Daphnia pulex: one gene and its partner. The protein of the gene in region 2 purifies or fractionates together with the protein of the main gene of each other region. This does not show direct contact. Links are inferred from orthologs where the notes say so. Each region holds a gene or a part of one and is shown on either strand. Other genes may lie near its edges.

What was found.
Region 1: the proteins of E3 ubiquitin-protein ligase RNF13-like (region 2) and AP-3 complex subunit delta-1-like purify together in Homo sapiens (affinity purification with mass spectrometry; 3 studies listed by BioGRID and IntAct, counting the BioPlex papers as one, with this or other methods). This does not show direct contact. The link is inferred for Daphnia pulex from reciprocal best matches to the Homo sapiens genes RNF13 and AP3D1.

What each region holds. Positions count from the first base shown.
Region 1 is NC_060021.1:779,885-790,571, reverse strand, and holds AP-3 complex subunit delta-1-like, read right to left. Parts: upstream 10,607-10,687; 5' UTR 10,360-10,606; coding exon 10,264-10,359; intron 10,193-10,263; coding exon 10,097-10,192; intron 10,023-10,096; coding exon 9,894-10,022; intron 9,819-9,893; coding exon 9,678-9,818; intron 9,607-9,677; coding exon 9,477-9,606; intron 9,419-9,476; coding exon 9,279-9,418; intron 8,948-9,278; coding exon 8,874-8,947; intron 8,716-8,873; coding exon 8,616-8,715; intron 8,533-8,615; coding exon 8,338-8,532; intron 8,274-8,337; coding exon 8,125-8,273; intron 8,055-8,124; coding exon 7,809-8,054; intron 7,749-7,808; coding exon 7,586-7,748; intron 7,514-7,585; coding exon 7,296-7,513; intron 7,229-7,295; coding exon 6,747-7,228; intron 6,668-6,746; coding exon 6,514-6,667; intron 6,413-6,513; coding exon 5,902-6,412; intron 5,835-5,901; coding exon 5,562-5,834; intron 5,486-5,561; coding exon 5,318-5,485; intron 5,244-5,317; coding exon 5,118-5,243; intron 5,047-5,117; and 3 more. Other genes in the region: uncharacterized protein LOC124194089, read left to right, coding at 2,220-2,930, 4,118-4,228, 4,289-4,447. UniProt on the Homo sapiens protein: Part of the AP-3 complex, an adaptor-related complex which is not clathrin-associated. The complex is associated with the Golgi region as well as more peripheral structures.
Region 2 is NC_060019.1:4,264,510-4,275,632, reverse strand, and holds E3 ubiquitin-protein ligase RNF13-like, read left to right. Parts: upstream 1-5,381; 5' UTR 5,382-5,742; coding exon 5,743-6,118; intron 6,119-6,173; coding exon 6,174-6,236; intron 6,237-6,302; coding exon 6,303-6,342; intron 6,343-6,403; coding exon 6,404-6,509; intron 6,510-6,602; coding exon 6,603-6,777; intron 6,778-6,859; coding exon 6,860-7,047; intron 7,048-7,112; coding exon 7,113-7,228; intron 7,229-7,294; coding exon 7,295-7,341; intron 7,342-7,404; coding exon 7,405-7,520; 3' UTR 7,521-7,804; downstream 7,805-11,123. Other genes in the region: 1-acyl-sn-glycerol-3-phosphate acyltransferase gamma-like, read left to right, coding at 697-883, 955-1,124, 1,212-1,300, 1,365-1,437, 1,497-1,687, 1,750-1,897, 1,973-2,201, 2,272-2,360; alpha-taxilin-like, read right to left, coding at 2,943-3,608, 3,679-3,783, 3,858-4,180, 4,264-4,462, 4,531-4,692. UniProt on the Homo sapiens protein: E3 ubiquitin-protein ligase that regulates cell proliferation. Involved in apoptosis regulation. Mediates ER stress-induced activation of JNK signaling pathway and apoptosis by promoting ERN1 activation and splicing of XBP1 mRNA.

The DNA of each region.
Region 1 (10,687 bases), on a different chromosome or scaffold from region 2:
CATGTTAAAGAAATTTTAATAATTAAAAAATCATCATTCAGCAGCAAAAAAAGCATCATTATAGTGTTGTGAATAAATTAAGTTTGCTTCATGCAGCGCTCCACATATTCGGTTTTAGACATCGGTCAATGCAGCGGGAGCAGAGATGGATTGGACCAGGGAGGTGATGCAATCATTTTAGGTTCCATTCAAGATGAGAACTGCATCCTAACATGGCAGCTACAATCTTTGTAATTTCAGCATGATTAATCATTTGAATGAGAATATAATTATGGTTTGCACAAATTTACCTGCCATTGCTGTTGTTTGTCAATTTCTTCCATTTGTGCTCCAGCTTCAAATATTATTGGAAGCCAAAAAGATTGAAGCTGATTAGGATCCATAAGGCAGAACAGCAAAGGAATAAAAACCTAGTGAAAACCTTTTTATAAGAAATAACCGTTACATGGCTAAATGCTGGTTAAGAGATGACAAATGCCAAACAAAGACTATAAGCTTAGTTTTTAATTTAACAAACCTTTAGTGGATGACAATTGGCCAAAAGAGTTTAGTAGTTTTTTTTTTTTTTTTTTTTTGCTGCAGACGATGCCGAGTCGGTGTGACTTATTTTGTAAACATCAGTCTGCTCGTGCAAGTGCTGCCACCTCTGAGCCTCATATCAAAGACATTGCTGGAGTAGGGCATTAGGGCAATCTTCTCGTTGCGCACCTAAACTCTAACCAATTAAAAATTTAATAAACCTGTAACAGTATCATATTTTGTAAATAGCACATATCACGAAAATATAAATAAATGGATAAGAATTAAATCTGGATTGGAAAACGTCTGGGATGCCCGCCCAGGGAGCAGGGACTTGAACGACTAAGGACCTGCTATCATGCTGCTATGGACTAACATAGATGATTGCTCCGTTCCAAAGGTTTAGAAAAAATAGTAATTTATAATAAGTTATCAATTTACGTATAATCTAGTCAAAACTCACGCAAAACACTAAAGGGTTTCCGTTTTCGCGTTCATTTATTCCTTCAGCGTTGCGGATTTCATTACTTCTAATCTTCTAAAGGTAGCAATTTAGATTTTTATTTGCTAATGTCAGAAAATCTTTCTTATTATTTCGACATTAAAAAATTTTCTATTATTCATTTTTGCATTTCTTATAATCAATAAACTGGTAAACAATATGTAGTTGACGACTGCTATGGTGACTACCACATGATGACTACCATATAGTTACTTTCTCTTTGGACTCAAATCACTCGGCATTACTAGCAACCTGTATTATTGGTTATTTTCTAGATTAGCTTTTCTCTATGGGAAACGATAGACAAATTCACCCAACGTATAATATCTGTACTATATAAATCCAATCATATCATCAATCAATATATGGGTTGTATTTTTTAACAAAAAGTATGCGGTCGATTGCTTGGTCATGTGCCGAGCGCAACCGACAAGTTTCTCTTCTCAAAGCTCATTTGGTTTCACATATTGTAGTGACAAAACAACATGTATGTAAGTTTATTCTCCATATAGCTTTTCTGTGTGCACAGTGGCCCAAGTGGTATCAAACTAAATTGACAAGAATTGAAACTCCCGCTCCCGGAAAATTAATCCTTAGTGGATATGACGTTTCTCTAAACACCCATAAAATAAAATTGGCTAGTTATTTCTATTTTAATTCAATTAAGTAAATAATCTCACTAAAAACTAGCTGTATGGAATTAAAGTTTTCTCTTTTGAGTTTAAAGAATTTTCTTTTGATAACAGCCCGATTGTTTGCTTTTATAGCTCCTAAATGGTCGAACGAAAAAAAAAAGGTAACGTGAAACCAATTTCTTTTCGATTTCAGACTTTGATTTACTGTTGCGTTCACCGCGAATTTTTTCCGGGAATTTTTTTTTCAGATTATTTTGTCTTGTGAAAAAGGAGGTACCTTGGCTTGTATAAAGAAATACACAAGTGAAAATACATACAATATCATCCAAGTCAACTTTCTCCGCAGCACTGCCCCCTCCCTTTTGTAAGCATTTCAACTCGATTCCATCGGACAACAGGGTGTACAACAACAACAAGAGCTAAGAGGCGACTTTCATCTCCGGGCTGAATGTTTGTGAGTGTGTGTGCTGTCGCCGTCATCCTGCAGGCTTTGCTGGACTTGTAAAGCAACAGCTTTCTCGTCAGAACGTCTTGAGAAGAGTTGTGCAGCGCAAGTCAATAGCATGTCCTCTTCCGTGTGTTACGTCGCCGTATTTTCTAAGCTGCTGCTGCTGCTGTTTGTTCTTATCGCATCAGTGTTGATCCAATCAGTGGCGCCCAATGTCTTTTTCCCGGTGGAAACGAGCAGGGATTTAGTTCAGTACCGATCGTTGAAAGATATTCTCTTCCGATCGCAATCGGAAGACAACGACCAGCAGCATTCCATCCAATCGCCGGTCGTGGCCAGTTTCCGGCCAGCCAATCCCAGTCCGACTTTGGCTTCTTCGCCTCACAGTGGAGCAGTTGGCGTCTCTAAAATTCGCTTCCTGGATGCGGATGAGTTTTTCGTCCCTAATTTTTCGCCGGTTCCGCATTCCGAATTCATTCCACCGGCGGCTCAAACTGAAGGGAGAAGGGCCAATTCACCTAATTTGAATCCCGATCACACCACTATCGTCAGACAGGCCAAAAGCCCAGAGATTAATCAATCTCCCATCGGTACTTCGGTCACTGGTAGTCCTGCTCAGGATCGCTGGCCATGGCCTTACTCGAAGCCCATCAAACAGGCGGTGAATATTCAGAGTCGCCAGCAACAGTCTCCATCTTTAATTGTCAAAAAATCGGTGGCCAAACCTTATCGGCTGCTAACCAGAACTTCATCTTGCCCTAAACTGCTGCACGACTTGACCATTACCTGCTCTTGGCCAAAGCAGCAGCAACTTCAGCAACCAGTGGTAAATTTGAATTTTCCAATTATTGCATTGAATTATTTGGCTATTACTTAAATTACTTTAAGAGCGGATATGTTAGAGCGTAACTTAATTTTTAGCCTACATTTTCTTGTTCGAGGAAAGTTCCGTCATGTCCAAAAAGAAACATTTTATGGGTGGCAATAAGTTGTGTTGGTCAGGAGAAATATATAGTGAACCAGCTGTGTAGATAGTGTGCTGCGGCTTTCTACGCATGTCCCAGCACGGAAATGGATATTGCTGTTTGCTTATGCGTGAAAAGGGATATTTACATTGCTGGCAATGCGAAAAAAAAAACATGTGGTTATCTATGGACTGCATATAGCCAAAAGCCATCACCTAAATTGAAGAATAGTATTTGAAGAGCGGCCAGCAACTCCAAAAGCGGCAGCGATAGACACAGCCGGGGGATTTTTACTTTCTCCAACACTTTCTCCAGCGCTGGCGCTGTAGGCGGAGAACGTGCGATGCATGTAATGGGGTGCTGCATTACCCACGTCTGTATATGCTGTGCTTCAAGTTATATAATAACGCCACGAAAAAACTCCATTTAAATAATAAATTGTTGGATAGTTTGGAAGAGTGAAAAATGGGGGCCCAAATGGAACTTTAAACGATTTCATTCTTAGATTTTAATTAGTGAAACACACGCCATTAGTTTATCCTTAAACCGGAGGCGAAATAATAAGTGGCAATGGTTTCGTTCGACTTTTTCCTTCTGTTTTTTAAAAACGAAAGAGAAATGTCCAGGGAGAACGTGTGCTGGATGGTTGAACGCAACAACACAATATCTTTTTATATTGCACTTCTGTTCATCTTATTCTTTTAGATTGACGAAGCATTTCCTTAGCTGTTACTACATCTTGACTCCTAATTCTTGAAACCTGCTAGTATTTTCACAACTTGCAAATTAGAAGTTTCTTACTTGCATAATAAGAAAGCTCGTCTAGACGACGTGCAAGAAAGTTAACATTTTTTGTGATGTCAGTCTCAAAGATGGAAAAAACCTTTTTGGCGATTTCGTTTTTCTAATGGTTGGTAGCTAAAGGACCTTCCGCATCAGAAAGCGTGAAATACTAAACCTAGATTATTATAAAGACATTGTCAACTTTTAAAAAAGTTACCTCTTCGTAAAATGTCTAGTCATAATTATTTGTTTTATTACAATGCAGGAGTTTCAATGGTACAAAACGCAACACAGAAGTGTGGCCGAAACGCAAAACAATTTGCTGGAATCTACAATTAAAACACCGATCGCTTTTGGAACTCAAATGATCCACAAGGTAAATTATTATCTAGAAATATTTAATTTGTTCTATACTTTAATTAATTTCATTTGATAGGATCCCCGTTATGGAGTGTCCGTCGTTTCCGACTCGGCTTACCTGACCATCCGCCAATTGAAACCCCAAGATTGTGGGTCTTACATCTGTGAGGCGGTGGATGTCCACAATGCGACAGTCATATCTAATACTGAATTTCTCATTTTCTTATGCTACTAAAAGTTTGTTACGCCCAGGTATTTAGTTTTTCTCTAGCAGGTATACCCATTGTAGTAAAACTGGATTTTACTATGCATGCTTGTAATCGGATTTATATACGCTTTTGTACTGTTTGTTTTTTTTCTTTCTTTCCTTTCTGTATCTCAGATTAAACAGTCTCAAAAGGACGCCAATTATACATTAAGATAATCAACCAAATTGTATATTTCTCTTTCGCTGTTGTTTGTTTTGAAGTTTACGGAAGCTGAGCACAAGATGATTCATGACCACCGATCCAATTGCGCTTCACCATCTCGCCCAACCCTTATCCACTTAGAAAAATACAGTAACATGTTAAGATTGGATTGACATTAGAATTCAACTTGGAATAGGTTAACAACTTCAAAAAGGCTCTTTTTTTTTCTCTCTTTTCGGCTTTTCGGTTATAAACTTCCCTTCAGGTTTTGCATTGAAACATCATCTTAGGTTTAATGCGTCAAACCGGATCGACAGGAGCGACACGTTTTGTATTAAGCAAACATTTGCCGCATTTCTTCCATGACCGACGATACCAACGACGGGTTACTGCTCTTTCCGTAAATGCTCAGCCGACCATCCGCCTAATTACAATTGATAGATTATTAAATAAAAATCTGGCAACACACCTAAATCATTTTCTAGCTGCAAATACCTGTGATTTCATGAGAATGCAGAGATGATGAGCGGTGGAGTGGCGACAGTATAACGAGGCGGATGTTCCCGAACTATCCATTTCGACTAAACGCATATTAAGCTCTCTACTGACACGATCAATCGCCTATAGACATTTAGAATTCACGTATTAAAAATTAATAATAGATTAAAAGACCAATCTTTAAAAAATGGCTGTACCTGAGATAAAGCAATTCCTTCGCACACTGCCTTGTCTTTGCCGATCAGTTCCTGGGAAGCCAATAATTCGGCAAATTGATCGCCACTGATGGGGTCAGAAGAGAGGAAGACGCTACATGGAATTTGCAGTTTGAAATCCAACTTTTCCGAGACAGATCCGTTTTCTCCCTTCACATTTATAGCAAAAGAATTCAATTAATATCACCCGAGGGGGAAAATTAGTAGTATTTGGTAGACTTGATACCTGAGTCATGTAGGTCAAAACACCTCTGAGCTGGTGCAGCATGGTGCTGTCGGCGACAGCGAAAGCAAATGGAATTTCGACTCGGCTTTGGCTGGCTAACTGGTGAGGCAATTCCACCCCGTCTTGCTCGTGCTGCCCACGGCATAGACGGGCGTTGGTAGAGTCGACCACATTAAAGATCATCGAATGAATCAGTTTGCCACTGCGATTGTGGAGCTGTACCGGGACTAATACTTGGTGCTGATCGTGAGGTACAGCGACAACACGATATTTCTGCAACAAACAAAAGTGAAATGAACAACTATAAACGATTTCGGGTTACCTATGGTTGAATTTTTACCATGACGAGACGTTTGTCATCTACTAAGGATTTCCACGCAATCGCGACCGGAGCAATGACACTATCCGACAGATGATTGTTTTGGTCATCAAAGTCTTTGATGTCCTTCTTCTTCTTTTCTTTTTTGGCTTTCTTCTCTTTCTTGTCTTTCTTTTCCTTCTTGTCTTTTGTCTTCTTGGCCGTCTTCTGGGAGTCGGCCGCCGTGGCAGTTTCATCGATGGTCAGTTCACCTTTCGCGACGACTTTCTTTTCCTTGGCGTCGTTGCCGTTGCTGGCCGACAACCAAAAGTCAAGATCGTCATTGAGGTTAACGCCCTTAGTCGTCGGTGGCAGCGGCGGCGGTGCATTCTCCTCTTTCTCCTGTTTCGTTTTCTTTCTCTTGGCTTTCTCTTCCTTGAGACCTTCTACCCCGTTTCTCGACTTGGGTTTCTTGGATTTGGCTGGGATTGGTGGCGCAGCTGCCGGTTCCAGGGTTACTCGCACCACCGGTTTTTCTTTCGGATAAGAATGGCTGTGGGAAAAATGGCAAATGGCAAAGAAATTCCCAAAAAGTAGAGCGTGAAATTACATAACAACCAAATGAAAGCCAAGCCCATAATAAAAAAAACATACTCTTCTAAATCAATGTTCAATGCGCGGTGGGGGTCCGTCTGTGGTCGCCCATCGTCTTCAGAGTCCGACAATCGCGCTCCTTCCGGCAACTCCATGGTAGATATCACTTGTGGAGCAACAATCTCGGCGGCGGCCTCTTCCTCGTCGCTGGAACCTATTATAACCAGAGAGGATAACAATCAAACGTTATTACACTGCAATAAAAAATATTGTTGAATTGAACAGGTATTTACCCTTCTTTTTCTTCTTTTTCTTGTCCCGCTTGGATCGATGTTTCTTGGAATCGGAAGACGCTTCCTTGTTTCGTTCGAGCTCCAAGTATTTGTCGGAGAGTTTCCTACTAGTGGAGACCTGAAGTGGAACGGACAAGTTGATGGACATGACGGGGATCTCTTCGGTCGGAGATAATAATTGCGAGGAAGACGAAGGTGACCGTCGCGCTTGGCTGGAACCCTTGAGATAATGCGGGTTGCTGGCCTGCTCGACGCGAAGGGCTTCGCGGCGCACCTGCTGCTGCCGAAGCGTCTGCTGGCGGACGTCGTCTGACTGGGCCTGGTCACCTTCGTCGTAAACGCCTTCGCCTTGGTAGCCGTCGCGGAAGTCGGGCGCGGATGTGCTCGACTTGTAGAAAATATCAAGGGACCCTCCTCCGTCAGCTTTGGGTTCTTCGTCCGACTCTGGTTCCGGTTCGTTGATCCAGGCGTCCAAATCCAAACTAAACGAGCAGAAATTGTAAACCAAAAGTTTCTCAACGAAACGGTTTTTTCAAATTTGTGGCTTACCCTTCAGGTAATGGAACTTTGCGCTGAGCTTTAGGCGCTACTGGATTCAGCTCGCCTTGGAAGAGCTGCATCAATTCGTTGACAACGTCTCCTTCGCCAGCGTCCTGCAATTTGGAAATCACTTTGAGGACGTGGACAGCGGTGCTGGCGCGCTCCTGAACCTCCAAATCGGCACTTTGCATGAACGGAGTCAGTCGCTCTTGAAGGACACACAGCATCTTTCAAGACAAAAACAGGGAAATGTTGAAATAGAATTTGAATTGGATGAAGCCATAAACAAAATTTAGTACCAATTGTGCTTTCTCTTTCTCATCCGCCGTGGATGCTTTGTGAAGAATGTGAGCGTAAAGCTTCATCAGATTGTGGATGAAAACAGCTTGAATGTGACCAGGGAGTACAGTCACTTTGCTTTTCAATATACATTCTAAAACTGCTTCGGGCTCTTTAAGATGCCTATAAAAATAAAAGATATTATTTAATTGTTTCCAACGGAGTTACACAAAAAATCCTTACGATGCGAATTCTCCACAGATCCAGGCGGCTGCGTAAAGCACTTCGCACATGGAAGAGAAGGCCACTTGTCCGGTGATTCCACGAATAGCAAAGCCACTCGATGTTTCCAACAAGAGAGCCATTTGTTCAACAGAAAATGGACGAATGGCAGGAACGCGGATCGCTACATCCATCAGCTGAGAAGCCACAACGTGACCCTGGCGGAGGCCTTCCATTCGACTCAAATCCACCAAAACGCTTATGTACCTAAAAAAAGGAAGAGATGGAGCGGTTGAGTTTTTCAATCAATTCATTCACTACGAGTACTCTAGAATACCATTCAAAATTGGTAATGAAATGATAATTATCTTGAGAGCAAATTTCGATGATTTTAGAAAGAAGCTCGTCACGGTACTGCGTTCCTTCTGCTCGATCCATGTGCACCATCAGTTTCTTGACAATTTCCATGAGGTTCTTCTTTGACACCTTTACAAAACCAAAAGAAACAATTTAAAAATTGGTTTATTTTTAAAGAAAATGTGAAGCGAACCATTCCGTAGAGAAGGTCTAGAGCGCGTAACCGTATCGATTCGTCTTTATCATCAAGGCAAAGCAGGATCAAATCCTTGTGCGCTTGAACGGATTTCGGGTGCGTTTTCAAGATCTTGGACATGGCTAGTAGACCAAGGTATTTCAAATTCTGATCAGAGTCTTCGATCAAAATACGCAACTTCTGAACACACAGCTAAATTAAAAAAATGGAAAATGAGTTGATTTCTTTTGAAAATATCGAATATGTTGAAACGATAAGGGATCGGTTGGTGGTACCTGAATAGATGCACTGTGACTAGGCATGCCGGTCGATATGGAAATTAGAACCGCAATGACAGTGTTGATACATTCATAGAGCAGCGACATCGCTGAAGTGCTGGAAAAAATTATGCGATATCGATTAAAAATAATGTTGGCAAAAATGAATGAAAGCAGCAAATAATCAAATATGGCGACAGATCAAAATTGATAGTCTAGCGCAAAGCTAGTGTTGCACAAATCAAATAGGAAGGTGTTGACATTTTTTGTTGTTACCTGTGAATCAAATTAGTTAAAGGTTCAATCAGCTTTTTGCCAAGGCGAGGCTCTAAGGGTGTTAAAGCTCCAAACTGTAAATACACAAAATAATAAGCAAGTGAAAACAAAAAAAATTTCAAGGGAATGCGGTCAATATTGATCTACTAAGGGAGGAAATGAAATCCTAGTCAAGCCTTACAATTTTATCGCTCTTTTCACGACTGATACCTTTTTATTATGGCTATAAGTGGTTGGCTTATGCACTTGCTTAGGCGAGAATCGCACTGTGTCATTGCATTCAACTAATAAGAACGTATCGGATTATGGAACAATTTTGACGAAAACATCGATTCTTTTTCGACCATTAAACTTTGTTAGTCTAGAATACCCAGTATACTGTACCCCATCATTACGGAGGCTTACCAATTTAATGATCTTGATGAGCATCCAATTATTGGTAGATGATGTCATCAATTTGAAGAAAATTGGGGCCAGGCTGAGATAATTTTTGGGGTTCTTTCTGGCCAGCTCACAAATGACGTTAACAGCGGCCGATTGTACACCTACGCAAAAGCAATCGATAATGGGCTGCGTTCAGTCACGTATCTCTAGATACGATACCGGGATCCGGATCTTCCAGCTTTTCTTTTAGACGGGGGAATGCAGGCCGCAAGGCATCGGGAAACGAAAGGAAAACTTTATACATAAGCAACACGGCTTTTTTCCTTATGTAAGGCTTAGTTGAAGACAACTGGAGAAAAACATTCAAGGGAAAATCAATAAAAAATCCAATGAATGAGAAGAGAACAAAAAGGAACATACCAATGTCATCAGATCATTTGCTAGGTCTCTGGCTAAATCTTGATTGATGAAACATGCCAATCCTGATAATGTCACACCAGCGTCGTACTGATTTTGACTACTCAAATCTTTCCTGATCATATTTGTGGTTAACATGAGTACCTATTAAGAAAGTGTAATAACAAAAAATTAGCTATAAAAACAAACAGAGAAAATCAATTAAATATAATCCAGTACCTCAGTGTCTTGATGGAAGCTTTGGGATGCAGCTAAATATCCTATTCTTTTGAAAGTGAATTTATTAGAGCTCATAACCTCAATTACATTGAAGCCAGCCCAGCTGATGTCATAGCCAATCATTTGAAGCTAACAAGGAAGTAAACATATTGATTACGTTAAAAATGACACAATTATCAATGTAATAAATCAAATAACCGTACATATGACAGCTTTGCCACAGCGTTAGCTTTTACTGCAATGTTTTCTTGCTTGAGCTCTGCCTTGATTTCTTCAATACATTGAGCGATATACTTGACCTGAAAAATAGCACAGACAGAATGTATACATCCAACTTTTGGGAACAAGACTGAAGAAAATTTTTGCATACTTCATTTTCCTTGTTGTTTCTGATGCCTCTTACTAAATCAGCCAGATTTTTGTCCAATATCCTTTCAAGGTTTCCCTTTAATTTAGTAAGAGCCATGATTATAAGATGATGGTTTCACTGAAGAGGCGCAATCTTCCTGGAATAAACACCCTTCAAATGTCGGACAGGTGTCTCACAACTTAGGATATAGTCACCAAAACACTTAAAGATTCCAACTAATATCGCAAATTAGGAATAAAGATATTATGTGCTATGAGCGGAGGCGGCGGAAAAGCCCCAAAAGTTCCTTCTGAAGGGAAAAATGACAGAAGAAACACACACCACGTAAATCTGGTTTGGCAACCACCTAGCGGACATGAACAGAAGCCTTCATCTCTAGAGTTCGCCGCCCCCTCCAAAACGGAAAAAAATGCACGGAAAAGAC
Region 2 (11,123 bases):
CAAAAAAATGTTCAAAAATCGATTACCATATTTGATTTTTGGTACCCCATAGAAGGATTCAGTTTATTTTTAATTACTAAATGATTATTTTTTAATACTAATATTGAAATCGATAAACTATTTTGAAAAAAAAATAACTAGTTGCATAAAATGACAACTATAAAAATCTTTACTTGTCTGCAACCACTGTAGAGGCGCTCACTTTCGTCGCATTCCTATTCCTAAAAGTAAGGAATCTCGTTTATCTATGAGCAGCATAGCTATGGCGGTATTGCTTACGAGTGGAGGTAAAGCAGACTAAATATTTGTAGGATAGTCCACAGGCTACAGCACAGCAGTTCCACTTTTTTTCATGGTTATGTTGCATGAAATTATGAGGGCCATGTTTTGCCACTAGAAGGGCCTAGAAGTTGGGTCTCGCGACTACTGAGTACTGTATCGTTTTGCTGTCATCGCGTGGGTTAAGAGATTCATTCAACAGATTGTACTGAACGTTTGTCGTTTGATTGACATTCGTCAGTTCAGTCAGGCTCAGTGTTCGCTACTTATTCTTCCAATCTCATTGTCGTCCCTATCATTGGTAATATCTAGTAAAAATCTTAATTTACTTAAATTAATAAATTTGTACTAACTCGGTTATGTTTGATGAACACAGGCTGAACACGTGTATATCGACTCGAAATTTCGCATATTAAAATGGTGCCAAATATTAACTTCAAGGAGGGATTATCATTTGCCGGATTTGTTGTGATTGGCGTAAATTTCCTTATTTCCGGATTATTGATTAACTTTGTTCAACTTTTACTGTGGGTTTGTTTAAAACCTCTCAGTCCTTTTTTGTTCCGCAAACTTAATTATTATTTCACTTATGCAGTTTGGGGCCGTAAGTAAATTTATTAATTATATTTATTATTATATTTATCTTTTATCAAACGTTATTGTAATTTAAAACAGAAATGGAGTTTCTTGCAGAGTGGTGGTCGAGTTCTACATGCACAATCTATACTGATGATCAGACATGGGAAAAATTGGGTAGTGAACATGCAGTCCTCCTACTCAACCATTCATATGAAGTAGATTGGCTATTTAGCTGGTTTTTCTGTGAGCATGTTAGGATGTTAGGGGTAAGCATTCTTACCTTTGGTTATTCTTAAATTATCTAAATAATTCATTTATATTTATTCCTTGCATACTTTACTGTAATAATTCAGGGTGCCAAAGCATTGGTTAAAAAATCCTTCAAGAAAGTACCTATTATTGGATGGACAGCCTTTTTTTCAGAAAATGCATTTCTGGAGAGGTATTACATTTATTTTTTTATTATTATTATTTTTACCTTTATTTGCCACATTTTAAATTTATAGGAGCTGGGAAAAAGACAAGACAACATTAGAGAACCAATTATCTGAGATGACTAACTGTCCTGATCCTGTCATGGTAAGTTGAATGCCTAATGAAAATAAATTACCAGAGACTACAGTTTTCACATTTTTTAGTTACATTTGTTTGCTGAGGGAACAAGATATACTCCAGCTAAGCATGCAGCATCTGTTGAATTTGCTCAAAAAACGGGCCTTCCACCTTTGAAACATTTGTTGGTTCCTCGTACAAAGGGTTTTGTTTCGTCAATTGAAAAGCTTAGGGGGAAGTTCCCTGCAATCTACTGTGCTACTATGGTGTTTGATATGTAAGGTTAAAAAAAAAACTTTTTGAACATCTTTTTTATGTTGGTATTTTGATTGTCAACAGTAAAGAAGCTGCTGCGCCTGTGTTCAAAAGTTTAGTACTTGGCCGCCCTATCGCAGCCGAAGTATTAATTGAGCGCATACCTCTTGACGACATTCCAGAGGATAGCGATAAAGCAGCTAATTGGCTACATCAGAACTTCCATCATAAAGTATTGGCAAAAAATAAATTACTCTGTTTTATTTTAATGATATTTTTCACGTTTATTTTGTTTGATTGTCCTTAGGATAAAATGATTGACATCTTCAAGACCGAAGGACAATTTCCGTCTTCTCTTCCCGGTCATCACTTCAGTGGTCCCATTCGCAGTCATTATCGTCCAAGACGTCTTTGGACATTGCTAACTATTTTCATTACATCTTGTTTAACCCTTCCTCCTGTGTTAAATGCTTTCTACTCGCTGTTCTGCTCTGGATTCGTTAACATCGTGATAGGAGTTGTTTTATTAGGACTAGGTAATATTGAAAACCTAGTGGCCACACATTCTTCTTAAAATTGATGATTCATTTTTGTTCTATTTTTCAGTGATCGTCGCGTTGCTCAAGTTGATGGATCTTAGCAGTGCTAGCAAGGGATCAGAATATGGACACAGTCCTCGTACCAAGACAAACTGAACTATATTTCAAGAAAACATCACACAAATTTTGTTACATTACGAAAAGTTGTTTGATGACTAGAAGTTGCACATGCTGCTAATTTTGCTACTGATTAATTCTGGAAGTTAGACTTCTTGGATCATTTGGATGCCTTTAACCTTCTATTTCGAACGCTAATCTGTGGTGTTCAATGTTATTTTTTTTTCTTGCTTTGTTTAAAGAATTCAAAAATGTTTTGAGACATTTATTGTTATTGATTGATTTCCTTACGCGTCTTACAAAGAAAGCGTTCGAAATTATACTCTAGTTTGTCATAAAATGAATCTATTTGATTTAGAACGGGAGCTATAACATGTTATACTTGGAAGAATAAAGTTGAAAAAAAATTGATAATTACATTTTATCACTCTTCGGTGGAAGTAGTCTACTCATTAATAATTGATCAACAAATAATGTAATTTTTCGTTCTTCATCAATTCTTTAATCAATAGGTTATTAATTTTGTTTTTAAATAAATGCTAGTCACCGAACTAAGTCAATTCTTGTCTAGAAAAATTAAAACGTGCAGTCTTTAAGCATTGTATTTGTTCTTATTCATGACTAGTTAATTACAACAGATTCCTGAGAAGGTGAATCCATAGGAGCGATTATATTAGCGGTTTCAGATGAAGGCGAGTGTACTAGAGCGGAACTTTTCACATCATCGCTCCCAAGAGATAAATCTGTGCAACGTTCAGCTGAAATTTCCAAAACCTGAACAAACTGTTCGCAATTAATATCATGAGGAATTGAAAGCAGAATATTAGCATCTGAATCAATTTCTTTTAAGTTTACTGAAACTTTATTGGCGTCAATGTGACATACATCAGCGCCAGAGTTGCTGCATGGTTGTTCAACATTAGGCAACGTTAAAATTTGTTGGGTTACAGTAGCGACGCTTTCTGAATGAAAACCTTCGTTGGTCGTAGATTCTGATAATTCGCCAAAAGGAGCCATTTTAATAGACTTTATTTCTGTGATTAATGAAGCTCTTTCTGTCTGCATTGCTCTACAGAGCTTTTCAAGTTGGGCCAGTTGCTTTGTGGTAGTAAGGAGTTCAGAATCCCTTTGTTTCTTTTCACTGGCCATTTCGGTTAGCAAAGAGTTACTTTTCTCCCAACGCTGTTTCCAAAGCGCCGTTTCCTTTTCCAAGCTCTTAAGCTTTTTAGTCATTTCATCCATTTGAGTTTTAAAGCAACTGAACTGTTGATTGCTGGCTTTTAATGCCTGTTCAATTAAACAAGAAATTGAAATAATTTAAAATCAACTTATTGGACTAATTGGATGCCAATTTTACCTTTTGAAAGTCATCATATTTGTCTGTATACATAGACAACTGGTGGCGCAGTCCTACTTCCTCCTCCTGCATGACTTGACATTTCTTTTGATATTCAGTTAGATCCTGTTTTAACCAAACATTTTCAATGTATAGAAAAATTTGTATCATATTAGTAAGATAGGCAAAATGTAACAAACCAGCAGAAGTATCTGCTTTTCTTTCAGCAGTTTTTCCTTAGCTTCCGCGGAATCCATTCGTATTTTTGCAAGTTTAGCTTCATTTAGTTGACGTTCAATGTCATACTGCTTCCCTAATTTCTCCAAATGTTGTTCCCTTAAGCTGTACTGGTCACACAGCATCTGTAATTTTGTAGCCATTTCACTGTTTTCATCACGTAATTTTTGATTCTTATCATTGTTCTGCTGAAGTAATGCTGAAACTTCAGAAAGTGTTGTCTGAAATTTAGTAGATACTTCTTTTCTACGTTCTTCTTCTTCACGTACACGTAGCATGCTCTCCTCTACCAAAGAACATTTGTATTTAGTTGATGAACAGGTATCTTGAATGTGTGGGATGGAATGTAGAACAATATGGGAAAACTACCTTTTACAACCTTATTCTGTCTCTGGAGCTCACGGCAGAGTTCTTCTAATCTTGACCGAGCTAAAAGAGACTTCCCATTTTCCATTTGCAGTTGTTCTTTTTCCTTTTGTAAAACTGTCATATGCTTTTCATTATTTTTTAAACTAGCAGCAGTTGATCTGTTTTCTTCCAGCAATTCGGCATATTTTTGTGTTAAAACCTACCAGATTTGTATGAGATTTTCATTATACTGATGTATATAAGTTAACCATCATAAAAATTGCTTACCTTCAGTTTCTCTTCAGTTGTTAAATTGTTCATTGATTTCAGCAGTACTTCAACACCGCGCATTTCTTTTTTACGAGACTTGCTCTTTTCATTTTTCTCTCCACCAGCTTTCAAAATATCTGCAATAGCTTGAGATAATTCTTCAGATTTTGAACTACTCATTGTTTAAAATTTCAACCCTCCACTATGGTCCTATTGAATGACTACGAGGCTTGGCAAATTCAACTTCACCGGAATTTCTACTCTCCTACACTGCTTAAAATGGGGATAAAGCTATTTGTTAGTAACTCGGATGAAAAAGGTGTTCCCAGGGAATTCCACGGAGGCACTTTGGTACGTTTCGGAGGTCTCTAGAAATAGAGTAATATGCAACCAATAACAGTAGGTCCGTCTCTGCTATACTACATGGCCGGACATCCTACGTCCTTTTTACCCGCGAACACCAAAAAAGTACCAAAAAAGTTAAAAAAAAGTCTATCTATCTTGGCCCTTCGCCGTTGGCTGTTGGGAGTGGGAGTGTTGGCTGCTCTTGCCTCTTGGCACTCTTCTCTGGGGGCGGAGTCTTGGTCGATAAACACAAGCAGACGGATGATAATTTCTAGTGTCGAACCTCGCCATCTAGGGCATTGTTATTTTAAAATTCCCAACTTCACAATTATATGAAAGCACGAAAATAACATCTTTTAGTATAAATAATTTTAAGCTAAATGACCAACCAACAATTTTATTACTAGATGTAAGAATAAGAAATCGTGTGATCAGAGAAAACAATTACCCTTCACAGATGGAAGATAGGTTTCCATTTTCTAACGCTACGAGCGTTGAAAGCAACCCTATTTAAAAAATAGGCTCCCCAAAAAGTGAGACATCATTGGCCGCGATGTCGAAACTGTATAGCTACTACGGATTTACGGAATATGTTATTGTCTTATTAAAGAGCGAATCCACTTATTACAGTGTTTTCGTTGATCCCTAGAGCCAAAATTGCTGCAATTTCATATCGTTAACATCAGAATCAAATCGTCTATAAAACCATTTACACTTTTGATCTTATTTAGAGTCGTCTTAAAATGGATTAAAATTTCAGTGATTGTGTAGTGGGTTTTCTTTAGAACTTTTTACCCCCACAAATTCTTTGTGAAACGTTTGTTAGACTTTAAGAGACGTGACAAAATTTCTTATTATCGTTATTATCTTCCCGTAAAGTTTACAATGTCCAACAGTTCACCTTATCTTGTCAACTTTTTGTGTAAATTGATCTTTTTGACATCTGTGTGGGTATGGGTAGTAGAAGCAGATGTTTTAGTAATATCTCTTGATACAAATTCCACAGTAAATGCTTTTCCCAGTTTACCTGCTAATTTTGGGAAAGTCTTACCATTTGATGGATTGATTGGCTGTGTTGTTATTGCTAATCCTCAAAATGCATGTAACACAATTGACCCTCCTCCAAAGAATAGCAATTGTTCTGATAAATGGTTTGTTCTGATCAGACGATATGATTGTAATTTTGTTGACAAAGTTCGTGCTGCTCAGAATGCTAACTATGATGCTGCAATCATTTATAATGTTGGATCCAATCTTATTGGTAAATATGCTTACTTACGATGCATTTATCACTTCTTATAATGATTTTTTTGCAGAGCCTATGGCAGGAGAAGATGATGATGATATTATAATTCCTGCTGTATTCATTGGACAAGATGGTAAATTATGAGTTCTCTTGTTACATTTCAATAGTTTGACTTACAAATTTTTCGTTTGTTTTTCAGATGGACTAAAAATTCAGTCTATTTACCAATATTATGATGGGTATTGGTCATAGCTATCAATGGATAAACTCAATTAATTAAGCTATGATTTTCCTTAAAAGGTACATGCTGTTATTGACCAATGAATTGCCATTCAATCTAAACAGCTATCTTCTACCTTTTGCCATTGTTGTTGCAATCTGTTTTGCAATAATGGTAGTTTTTATGGTAAGTGATTTGATTCATCATTTATTTATACTTAACAACGTTCTAAGTCATGATTTCGGGAATAATCATTTAATGCCTGCATAATTTTTTAAGTTGATAAAGTGTGTCAAGGAGCGCAGACGATCTAGACGTATTCGTTTGCCTTCGTCGTCCTTGAAAACCATCCCTACTAACAAATTCAAGAAAGGGGATCCATATGATACATGTGCCATATGCTTAGAAGATTACGTAGATGGCGATAAACTTCGTATTCTACCTTGTTCCCATGGTTGGATTGGATTTCATTATTATTATTTGTTATTGTTAGTCTTAATACGGCCGTGATAAATGAAACCAATTTTTATTCACAGCTTATCACACCAAATGCATCGATCCGTGGCTTACGCGAAATCGCCGAGTGTGTCCAGTTTGTAAAAGGCGGGTAATTGCGCGAGGTGAACATCTTTCTGATTCTGATTCCGAAACGGAGGACGAATCTAGGCCTCTTCTTCGACCAGGAACGTATGGAACATCAGGAGGAACGTTCACTGATCAAACCGTAATTGTTTTTTTATAAAGGTAATTCTTTGTTTTCCCATGTTGAGACATATTTTGTGGTTTTAGAGAAATACTGGAAACAGAACCCATGGTGTATCAAATGCGTTGGTGTTGGATGAAGAAGCTATCGATAGAGGGCATTCCGTTCTTGTATCTGCAGATTCGATTGTTATTGAAAACGAGTAAATCACAAAAATTTGAATTGCTTGTATTATAACGCAGAATAATTGATTTAGTGTCAATTTTAGGGAAGCTACGGTTTCCGGAAACGACCAAGACGTCGGACAGGTTCACGGTAATATTGTTGTTTTGTATTGTTTCATTTTAGTTTTCTTATTTTTCCTTGCCGTAATCATAGAAATTGATATGTCGTCTGACGGTGAAGCAGAACAGCCGCAGGAAAACCTGAATGCCGATAGTTCCGTGTATTTAACTCCTGAAAGTCACCGCTCACGGGATCCTATGAATGTTTAATATCTCTTGTAATTAAATCTTTAAATTGACATGCTGTTATATCCTCCTATTCATTATATGATTTCAACCTAACTTTTTTCTTCATATATCTGGTTGTGAGAAGATGAATAAGACAAATTTACAATTCTTCCGAAACCCGAATTCTACTGTGTCAGCGACAAAAGCGCATGACAACGTTTACCTTTACAACAAGAAATTTGCTAAATTTAATCAATACACTACATTCGTATGCGACAAAGAAAATATTTGACGAAAGTCGCCCCTTGAACGAAAATGAAACAAGATTTATGTCTTTCCTCTTTGATAATTTCAAATAATTCCACATTGAACTACGATCGTCAACGCTGTTGCGTCAGTAGAGGAATAGTCATTGAGCGCGTCTCGTGTTAGTGTAGTATGTTTATTACTAAACCGTTATCCATTTGCATTTTTTTTTATAATAAAAGTATTCCATTAAATTGGTTATTATTTCAAAATAATAAATATTTCCACAAAAAAATATATTTGATTCAGTTCCTCAAGGGTAGGCGGCAAAACTTTGAATGTTCGTCCTTGAACCTTTTTTCTCCGTGTCTCACTTGAGGGATATTCTACTAGGAATGGATTATAGTGATATGACATTTTTGTTGTGGGAAGGTAGTGCTGTATTTTAGAGAGGTAATTAAATTTACTAGCGCTCGCTGAGACGACAATAAAAATTTCCCTGTGGAAAACGCCGCAAGTACAAGGTTGTTTCATGAGCGCTGCGTACATACGAAAGATATATATTTGTTTAGAGTGATAGATAAATATTTCTTCAAAGAATTGAATATGTGTTCATCACGTAATGCGATCAAATTAATTGCTATTATGTAACATGTGTGGGTAAGAACGTACGCGTAGACTACAATTAGAAAGTTCGGATCTCGGGTAATTAATAAGCAATGGACTTTAAATGAATTGAACGTATACAGATCAGCAGCTGTCTTAAGTGTTAAAAAATTGTTCGTTGCACTAGTCAATATCTGTAGTAAGCGCAACGAAATATTTCGTTGAATGGCTAGTTAGTGCATTGGTGCAACGAAATATTTCGTAGCGGTTTACTACAGCAGATATTAGGTGATGTATATATTAGTTGACGCTATCACGTTTCTCCGACATTTCTTTGCTTAATTCCCAATACAAGAATTTGTCTTCGTTGCTTCTTTCAATAACTCGCGTATTCCACATTTTATTTCGTGATGTTTTATCAGTTATTAGACTATGAAACCAAAACCGATTGAAATTCCGTGTGTTAAAATTTTACCAGTATCAATTAATCATCGATTACACAAGATTCAATTTTTGTGGCGATCAACCACTGAAATTTAAAATATTTTTTTTATTTTTACTGTTTGTTACTGTGGAAGAGTTGGTGTGTTGGATAAGGCGTCACTTTTGAACAGGTGTGCCTTTCCTTGGGGATGGGAGTTCAAATCTCCCAGTGAGCATTAGAAGTTTCTCACACACCCGCTCTGGCGCCACTATGGTGTCACAAATCTAGTGAATCCAGGCATTGTGTTCTCGCCTCCCGAGTGATGACCTCTGGTGAGTTCTCATTGAACCTAGATTCCCAATTGGTAATCAGGCGCTTCAGAAATTCAGTACCTGAAGAGATGCTTGATCTAAAGTCAAGCTAGAGTGACATTCATTTTGGCTAAAATTGTTAGCATTTCTTTCTCGAATTCTTTTACGCGAGCTTTTAACTTTGATTGTATTACCTCTTTCTTAAGTCTAACATGAGCCAAGTCCAAATTGTAATTTGAATTTTTAATTGAAAAATAATGTGAAAAAAATGGCCATGATTGCGGAAAATGCCAACCTTTGCGGATATTCCGTAATTTTGTCCTGGACTCCTTCGATTCTTAATTCTTTTTCGTTGCTACAAAAACAAACCCGAAATTTTGATAGCCCTTCGTCTACAGTCTCGTACATCAACAACCATGGTCTCGTAGCTCGATGATAAATGTTTAAGTGTAATCCGGTGGTACTACCTAATAGTCGGGTCTTGCCTAACACCCACTGTAAATTTCTGGAGGCGACAGTGACACGAAGCTCTCTGGGCGACAGATTTCACGACATAATTTTTTATCTCACGGATTTACTTTGTAGGGTAACAATCGAGTTTGTAAACAATCACGGTTGATGAAGGACAAGTTTGGCTCTGATTAGTCTGAAAAGTGAAAACTAAAGAGTAGCAAAAAGTTACCAACAACACGCTGGCTCCGCGCATGGATTCGTACGCTTTCATACAGTATTTTAGATTAAACGTGGTTGAGAATTAACCCTTTTAAATAATGCGCAACATAGAACTAATACATTTTTGGTTCGATTTACGTACGTCTGAAAGTTTAATCCACTAGTAGGAGTGCACGATTGCGATCTGTGCGCCGATAGATGTTTGGGAATTATTAATTAAAGGAAACACACTCGGAAACACATCGGATGCGATTAAGTAAAAAGGGATTAGATAACAGCAGATAGGGTGGTAAGAGGGGTCAATAAAAAAAATCAAAATTAAGAAAAAGGACGACAAGGATTGAAAGAAGAACAAACTGGTAAAGGCGCCACCTGGGTGGAGTGTGTCGACCAGGTGTCGACTGTTCTCGATCCTTCTTTGCGGAAGCCTGATACCTCAAAACATCGATGCAGAATGTCGAATCGAAAAAGAAAGAAGAAGGGACGCCAATTGATAGTTAAGTTTTTTGCCCAATAGGCATTTGATATAAATTGTGGCCGAAAAAACTAAGTCGTACGAAGATAGTGTCGTACGTAATAGTAATAAATAAAGAAAAAAGTAGTGATTTTGCTAACGGTATTAGGTCATTTCGCCATAACGATGTTTCGAATGTTCGTTAGTGACCCGCAATCTAATCACGTCACTGTTCACCGGGCACACCCTTGACACATGGTCAATTAATCCCGCACAACTGAGCCCACTCGTCGGCAAGCGCATACAACTTATAACCCTCTAGTGTGACTTTAGATCAAGCATCTCGTCCGGCATTACACCTTCAGCACCTGATTACCAATTGGGATTCTAGGTCTGAGCCTCGCCCCGCGTCCGGGACCTCTGTCTAGAATCACTAGATTCGCCGAAAGTTCCATCACAGTGGCGCTAAGCGGGTGTGTGAGCAACTAATTAAGCTCACTAGGGGGTTCGAACCTTTGCCTCAAAGCGCATCTGTTTGTAAGTGACGCCTTATTCAATTCACCCGCTCGCCAACTATATAATCTATTTTTAAAAATGACATTTTTTTAATTTCAGTGGATGAGAATTTCAGAAAAATTCACGATTTTTTCCTAATTTTCATTTGAATAAGATCCAGTCACGGAAACGGAGTGTCCAAAACATCTAGATATTGGCTGAAAGGCAGCAACGCAGCAACAGCTATTGACTTTTATCTAAATTTCTTCAGTGATAGGAATTTGGGAGTTGAATCACTTGCAATTTGCGAGTTAAACAATCGTGCGTTTCTAGTAGAAAATTAATTGAAAGATGGCCGCAACAGTGAATGTGAACTTAAGTTCTGCTTCTGCTGCAATCCTTATTTTCCTTATCAAATCTTTACAATACTACATTAA